Linked DNA regions of Saccharomyces cerevisiae S288C. The gene in region 2 interacts genetically with the main gene of each other region. Each region holds a gene or a part of one and is shown on either strand. Other genes may lie near its edges.

Region 1 (3,996 bases), on a different chromosome or scaffold from region 2:
ATTTTTTATCAACATTAATTGTAATTTCTTTATAACATCTTATTGGATATCATACGAATGTTTTTAAATTACAAAATCATTAAATCATAAAATGTTCAGTGAGTACAATCTCCCAAAGTCTACGTTTACTGTAATTTATCGCTATTTACAGGGACGCTGCAGCTTAAATATTAGCGCCTAAGTTAGTCGAAGCATTCTGTCTTGCCCAATTCTGGACAGTAGCAGCGGTCTTTAAACCCACCCCACTCGGCCAACATTTCTAATTTTTCCTTTGGCTCTAAGAAATATTCTCCGCTTAATACAAAGGTCCCCCAATGAACGCCTAATACATTTCGAGCTTCTAGATCTTTCATAATCTTGAGAACCTCTTGAGGATTAATATGTCGTGGTTTTTGGTGCCACTCAGGGCAATACTGACCACATGGAAGCAGCGCTAATTTACAACCTTTGCCAAAGCGTTCTTTAATTCTAACGAATAAATCTTTCACATATCCAGTGTCACCAGCATGAAAAAGTATGGGATTACCATGGTGTGTTAATAAAAAGGAGCACCATAGAGACTTGTTCGTATCTAAGAGCGATCTCCCAGACCAATGCATGGCAGGAGTAGCCGATATGTGGTATATCTCATTGTTTTTCTTTACTTGCAAAGTTTCCCACCAAGATAATTCTAGGACATTATCACAGCCGTTACTTGTCATATAAGATTTCATTCCTTTAGGTACTATCCATAAGGGAGAGTCTTTGCCACTCCAGTATTCCAAGCTTTCTAAATCCAGGTGATCGGGGTGATTATGGGATACAAGGATGATATCTGGTTTGGGCACCTCTGTAATTTGAGATGGCATTTGAGTAATTCTTTTAGGACCCAGGGTCTTGTGGATAAGAAAGTCACTGAACAGAGGATCAGTAAGTATCCTCAATCCATTATAAACCGTGTAGTTACAGGACTGGCCCAGCCATGTGTTATAGACTGGGCACTTTGATCCTTCATTTTCTTCTACTGCAGTCGGTATGTGCAATTCGTCTAACACTTTGCATTCTAGCGGCAATGCCGTTTCCTCTGCGGGGTCGACGTCCACTAAGTTAGGCCCCCATGTTGGCTTGTGTACAGGCATTAACTTATTCATTTGGTGTACATCACGTGGAATACCTCCCCTATTTCTTTCAAATAATTCGAACACTCTATTTGCAAAGAATTCAAAAACGGTCTGAATCCTGTATTCTTCGAACGGGTTCTCAAATCTGCCTAAAACTTCCAAAGGGCTATATTTTAGCAAGGATCCCTTATAAGTGACCTCGTTATTATTCTCCTCTAATCTTTGACACATTTCGTTTCTTAAATCAATTTGCTTCACTGTAGCCAATGATACATAAAACGCATATCCTGTGTAAGGTACCAAAACAGACAACAGAAGTATACGTGCGTATTTTCTCGAGCATTTTTGTATAGGGCGTGTCTTTTGCGAAGCATGTCTTTTGAAAGTTGACAATGATGTCTGGGGTCTAAACAGCTCTGATTCTCGTAAACGCACTAGTCTCCTTTGGAGAAGAAGCCTCATCTGAACATGGCAGGTAACAAAATTCATTTGCAACACAAGCAGGCATGCAATCCTTCAGTAATTGGAGTGCTACTGTTCACACCATATTCTCGCTATTCTCGAACTACGTTTTTTTTTTTTTGTTAAGCATCAGTAGTGAGTCTTCGGGAACTGCTTAACGACAGTAAAGGAAAAAAAAAACTAGCAGCTGTTGATAATATTCAGAAAATGAACGCAGAAGGAATCATTAGCTAAAAAGTTTATTATTAAAATCAGACATATATCTCATTATAATATTTTTTTTTTATAATACCACCATTTGTTCTCATATAATACTGATAAATATCGCATCGAATGGAAAAGACAAATAGGAGGCCGCTATTGTAATTTGGGCCTTAACCTATTTATTCTCTCTCTTTTAATTGATATTTTAATCTTTTTGAAGCCTACAATGTATTTTGGGCGATAATCAAGGAGAATATCAGTGTCATATACTCACTGTGGTAAATGTATTTCTAAAGTAGTTCCAATTCTTTCTTCAAAAAAGGCCACTAGACGATGTGCTTTCTTGCACAAGCATTTTGCTGGGCTATCTTCAATAGTGATAATTCTAACTAACTCAAAACCAGATGGCAAGTTCTTCCCTATGGTCGACTTCTCTCAGACGCAATAGTAGCTATGTTATTGATGGCTTTTGACGCCAGACCGGGTAAAGCGCATGGAATGAACTCTAAACTGTTAAAATAACAAAAACGACATATGAAGATGTCGATGAGGCTGGATAGTTTAGAGATGAGGTGCAGAGAACAACATTGTATAACAAATTCGGCTCCCAAATATCGCATGTACCATGTCATTTCGTAAAAGAGGTGAAATACTGAACGATAGAGGTAGCGGGCTAAGAGGTCCACTGTTAAGAGGTCCTCCACGAACTTCCTCAACGCCATTGAGGACAGGCAACAGAAGAGCCCCTGGAAATGTGCCCTTGTCTGACACTACAGCGAGATTAAAGAAGTTGAATATTGCGGACGAATCCAAGACAAAAATGGGGCTGGATAGCTCCCATGTGGGCGTTAGACCTTCTCCTGCAACCTCTCAGCCGACGACATCAACTGGGAGTGCTGACCTGGACAGTATACTAGGCCATATGGGGCTGCCGCTGGGAAACTCTGTACTAGTAGAGGAGCAGAGCACGACAGAATTTCACTCTATTCTCGGTAAACTGTTTGCCGCACAGGGTATCGTTCATAATAGAATTTCAGATAGCAGTGCTGATAAAACTAGAAACGGCGACACTCATGTCATTGTCTTGTCATTGAACCAAATGTTTGCAAAGGAGCTACCTGGTATCTACAAGGGATCACGTAAACAAATGAAGAAAAACCTAATCTCTGAAGAAGAATCAAAAGTTACTGTTCAAAATTTGAACGAGACCCAGAGATCGACGCCTTCCAGGTACAAAGACCTGAAAATTGCATGGAAATATAAACTGGCAGATGAAAAGAGATTGGGTTCTCCGGATCGAGATGACATCCAACAAAATTCTGAGTACAAGGACTACAATCATCAGTTTGATATTACAACGCGTCTGATGCCCGCTCCCATAGCATCTGAACTGACATTTATCGCCCCAACTCAACCTGTCTCCACTATTTTGAGCCAAATAGAACAGACTATTAAAAGGAATGACAAGAAACTGATAAGAATTGTTATTCCTTCCCTTCTACATCCGGCAATGTATCCGCCCAAAATGTTTGAATCATCTGAAATAATAGGTTTAATGCACGGTGTGAGGAGTCTTGTCAAGAAATACTATGAGCGGGTTGTACTGTTTGCTTCCATATCCATAGACATTATCACTCCCCCATTACTGGTATTGCTGAGAAACATGTTCGATTCTGTTATCAATCTAGAACCCTTTAACCAGGAGATGACTGAGTTCTTAGAACGTGTTTATAAATCGCAACCGGGGAAGATTCAACATGGGCTAGTCCACATATTGAAATTACCAGTTTTCACGGACCGTGGAGAGATGAGAGTTTTAAAGTCTGAATGGGCATTTAAGAATGGCAGAAAAAAGTTTGAAATAGAACAATGGGGCATACCCGTGGATGATGCTGAAGGTTCAGCTGCCTCGGAACAGTCACATTCACACTCGCACTCGGATGAAATCTCACATAATATACCTGCAAAGAAGACCAAGATATCTTTAGACTATTAAGAATATGGTTCAATTTATGGGAAATATACGGCATGCTTTTTAACAAGCGTGGTGAATGTATTATTTTTTTATCTGTTATATCTTAAATACGACTATTATATATATATCCATCGTCTTTTTCCTGACTCTAAGCGGTGGCAGCTGGAAGGTAGAAAAAGGTATCGCCTAGATGTCAAAATATGAAAAAGTGAAATGAATATTAACAAAAAAGGAGCGTGAGCTGCAGAAAGAATT
Region 2 (4,398 bases):
TCAAATGTAATTGGCAGATTATGAACCTTCTTAAATGACAATGTACGTTTGTAATCTCCAATTTCTTTAGCCATGGAAACAACCCCTGGGTACACCACTCGTGCGTCCCTTGGAGGAGAACCACTCTTTTAAGGTAAAAAAAAAAGCACCGGCGGGGTCCAATAATGATAATAATACCATAAATAAGGAAGATGGTATCACCGATTGGTCCAGAAGTATTATCCATACAGTTGTTTTTAATATTATTACATACATTATATATTAAAAATGTGTTTCGTAACCCTAAAGCAAAACAAAGTATATACAGTGACACAGATCCTTTAAACATCAAAAAAACAAAAAAAAGTAAGTCAGTGCAGATCCGAGCCTTCTCTCTTAATCTATCTAACTTTTAATTCAAAAGTACTTCTCCAAATAGCTACCACTTGCTTTATAACTAAATCCCTTGAACATATCCGGGGACTTGCTCACCGAATTGATATTAATCGGCTTGCTATCCGTATAGGTTTCCTCATATGACATAGAAGTAAATTCTGTGTCAAAATTTTCCGCTAGTTCCAAATCCGTAATAACTGGAACAATTGGGCCTAGAGTGGTTTTTTGCAATTGTCCAGATTCTAATAACTTCCAGTCTATTTTTCTAAAGATAAAATGTTCAGTGAAAAGACTAGTTCTTGCAGCCCCTGATTTCTTCTTCTTAGACTTAGTAGGCTTATTATTAGCCCCGGTTTTGGCCCAGTATTTGTCAACATTCCACCTTTTGGCAGTTTCCTTCTTCAACAGCGCGTTTAATATATCTTTCATTCCCTCGCTCAGATAAAATGGAATTTTGGGGCCTTGCTTGTTTTGTTGAATCTTATTAATGATCACCTTATGATTGCTACCAGTATATGGAGGCTTACCTACTAACATGTCATACAACAGACATCCCAAAGAATACCAATCACAATTCTGACTGTAAGCTTTACCTAATAATATTTCAGGCGCACAGTATTCAGGCGTACCGATAATCGAGTATAGGGCATTGACGTTCTCTGGATCCTCCTCATCAACCGCGGAATCATTAGCACTTTTTTTACTCAGACCAAAATCTGTCAATACTAAATGTCCACGTTGATTCAATAAACAGTTTTCAGGTTTTAAATCTCTATAGACAACACCTTTCGTATGCAAAAATCTCAAGGCACAGCTGATTTCTGCCGCGTAAAACGAAACTGTCGTCTCATCTAGGGTCCCGTGTTCCTTCAAGTGGTAAAATAGTTCACCGCCAGGGATATATTGTAGCAGTAAATATAACTTTGAGTTATCGTGAAAAGAATAAAATAACTTGACAATGTTTGGATGTTCTATTTCAGATAGAATAGACCGTTCGGCAAATGTTCTCTCAAGCCTCTTTGATAATCCATCGTCATTATCGTTGTTATTACCATCATTTTTATCTTCGTCTTCTCTCTTGGAATCTGTGGCTGTTTGAGAAATTAAAATTTCTGCTTTCCGTAATTGCTTCATAGCATACAGCTTGGATGTATTGACGTCCTTAACAAGAAGAACTTTACCGTAGGCACCTTGGCCTAGGACTCTCACGGGCTTAAAATCGTGCAGGTTCCTTGATAATTCATTTTCTCCAATATTAGAGGAAATAATGTCCTGAGGTGTTATGGATAGTCTATTCGTATTAGTTCGCATTGCGTCCGAACCTGTAATAGAAAATCTTCTCGTATTTGGTGGAGTGAGAATAGGGAATTTGGAATAAGCTGAGGACCTTCTTCTCATCCTATGTGCAGGACTCATGCCATTTAGCGGAATCGCATTTGAATGAACCGAGAGGTGATTTATACTCTCCTCATATGTGATGGAGCTGCCTTGTTCATGATTGATATCATTGTATATTGCCGAGGAATAATCTACTTTAATGTCATTCTTTTTATCATCTAGTGACACACGATGAAGTTCTTCATCTAGTGAGAAAATCATCCTAATTACTGCCAACAGTATGCTCAGCTAGATTGGTTGATGAAAAATCTTATCATAGGGCACCTTCCAGGTAAAAGATCTACTTACTATTAGTCAGTACGTCCTTTTTTCATTTGTTTATAATTTTTTTTTTTTTTTTTTTTTTCTCCTCTCAATATTTTAGAAGTAACATGACAGAGCAACACGTTTATTTTCCTACATATAGTCATAAGTATAAAAACGAGCGAGAAATTTTGTTAAAGAATTGATATCATATTTTATAATTTACATAAACTAAATAGGGAAAGAGTAGTATAGCGTGCATAAGTTTGAAAAAAAAAAACTATTCATACACTCATATATACTTTTATATGGTCTTTTTTATATTCAAGAGTGATTGGTCAATGATTTCTTGGTCACATTAAAGATGTCAGCCAACTTTTCAAAATTCTTCGCTGATATTATACCTTTTTTAGATAGGAATCTAATCAAGATATCAATCAATTCTATAATCTGCTTGTCGTTCAGGTTCATTAAAATAGTGGATAAAACTGTATCTACTGTTATTCTGTGTTCGCTGATGAATGTTTCATAGTACAAATTGGCAAAAGAACCCATTATGAATTGGCAATCAACCCTGTCTGTGATACCACCATGGCCTGGGATGGAGTGGCCAAAGTCTTTAACTTTAAAAGTTCTCTTTAGACCAGATGCGAAAAAGCCTCCAAATGGCGCAAATAATGATGCAAAGGTAGCTAAGTTTAAAGCATGGAAATAAATTGGTTTTACTGTAATTGAATTGATTTGAACTTTATCGAAAAAGATGGGTGGAAGTCTGTAAACTTGTGGAAGGAAAACTGGGTTTAGTTCACATGTCAAATTAGAGAAAAAATTGGTATGGAGATCTTCAACAGGGCACGTCAAGTAAGTATAAGGGCTCAGAATCCTTGTTAATATAATACTAGCTAGAGCAGTGAAAAACCAGGCACCAAGGAAACCTTCTAAAGTTTTCTTGGGCGAGATTTCTATTAGTTTAGTCTTACCGAATGTAATGCCGCACAGGTAGGCGAAGATATCATTAACAATTACCAACCCGCATGGTAATAAGAACCAGAATAGCCCATTGAGCACGTTTTTGATGATCAAATGAGCCTGAAATACTACCAGAAGAAGAACCATATGAGTAACGCACAATGATCCGAACTGGAATTTCAAAAATCCCTTTCTTAAACTACAAACGAACAGAACAAATCCCATAAGATAGAGACAATAGCAGATAAACTTATGATTTGTTACGATAAAGTTCAATACAGGATACTCGTAAAAAGTAGCTTGGAAAAACTTGAAGAGTGATTTCCCATCTAAGTAATAGATAGTGGTGAAGAGAAGGTACCAGTTCAACGTCTTTGTCAATGGCAAATTCTTTTCGCGACCAGATGCACTTGTTACGGCAATACACTCTTTAAAAGTAGCAATTTGGCAGCCCAAAATCAGCACTATACACCATGCATGACCCGATGCTAAGGTGATGAAGAAACCACTGATCATAACAAACGTCCAAACTGTTCTAATGAAAAAGTTGTATTTCCTGCTTTCCTTTGTAGCAGCAGTGCTTTCCTTGGTCACCGGCGTGACGGATTCGCTGGCGTCCTTGTGGAGTTCTTCTTGCAATTTATCAATCGCCTTTGAGGTGGCGTCAGTAACCGACTCCACAATCTCCTTGCTCGTACCATGTGGTTTCATCTCAGGGTTGTCAGACATTTTAGGTATATGGAAGTGGAACAGTTAAGTATGACAGGTTCGCTGTTTGGGAAGATACTTGGCAAGAAGTGCGTCTTCACAATCTGGCTTACACTAAATAACAATATTGATGAATGCTCCCCCATGCTGTTTACAGTTCTCGATTGTTACACTTTTCACATGTCATCCCATCTGAAAAATTTTCAAGAAGGGTATCCGTTGATAATGACTGTCAAATACATAGCGATATAGTACCAATATACAGTGCCTGAAAACGCCTGGAATAAGCCAAAGCGATCAAGGTGGAGCTCCTGCAGATTGGTTTAGAAAGTAGTGTATTGATAGTTATTTACATGGGCGTTTGTTTATGATTCTTTGTGCCTAATATATCCACGTTCTCCGTTGAATTCTGAGATGTACTGCATCAAAATAGCGAAAAACGAGCAATAAATATCAGAAAATCAAATGAAGTATACTCGATGAAGGCAGCTGAGATGAGGTGGCAGATACAATAAGAAAGATTTGTTGCCATATATAATAGCAATTAAAAAATAAATTTGAAAGAGTGAGATGTCCGTAACTTTTAAGGACGATGTTCATCGGATTCTGAAGTTTGTTGCTAATTGCAATGGCAGGTTTGAAGATTCCAAATGTGATATAAGAGAATCGCCTCTCGGTGGATTGGGTGTCTTTGCAAAGACTGAT

The links.
Region 1: mutations in YPK3 (region 2) and ELP4 together harm fitness more than expected from each alone (negative genetic interaction), as found in Saccharomyces cerevisiae (2 studies listed by BioGRID).

The regions. Positions count from the first base shown.
Region 1 is NC_001148.4:357,818-361,813, forward strand, and holds ELP4 (Elongator subunit ELP4), read left to right. Parts: upstream 1-2,391; coding exon 2,392-3,762; downstream 3,763-3,996. Other genes in the region: FMP30 (N-acetylphosphatidylethanolamine-hydrolyzing phospholipase D), read right to left, coding at 183-1,589. UniProt on the Saccharomyces cerevisiae protein: Component of the elongator complex, a multiprotein complex which is required for multiple tRNA modifications, including mcm5U (5-methoxycarbonylmethyl uridine), mcm5s2U (5-methoxycarbonylmethyl-2-thiouridine), and ncm5U (5-carbamoylmethyl uridine).
Region 2 is NC_001134.8:294,029-298,426, forward strand, and holds YPK3 (putative protein kinase YPK3), read right to left. Parts: upstream 1,975-4,398; coding exon 397-1,974; downstream 1-396. Other genes in the region: YBR027C (uncharacterized protein), read right to left, coding at 1-328; CDS1 (phosphatidate cytidylyltransferase), read right to left, coding at 2,341-3,714; RKM3 (protein-lysine N-methyltransferase), read left to right, coding at 4,264-4,398. UniProt on the Saccharomyces cerevisiae protein: AGC kinase which plays a role in TOR complex 1 (TORC1) signaling pathway which mediates temporal control of cell growth in response to nutrients. Required for phosphorylation of ribosomal protein S6 (RPS6A/RPS6B) at 'Ser-232' and 'Ser-233'.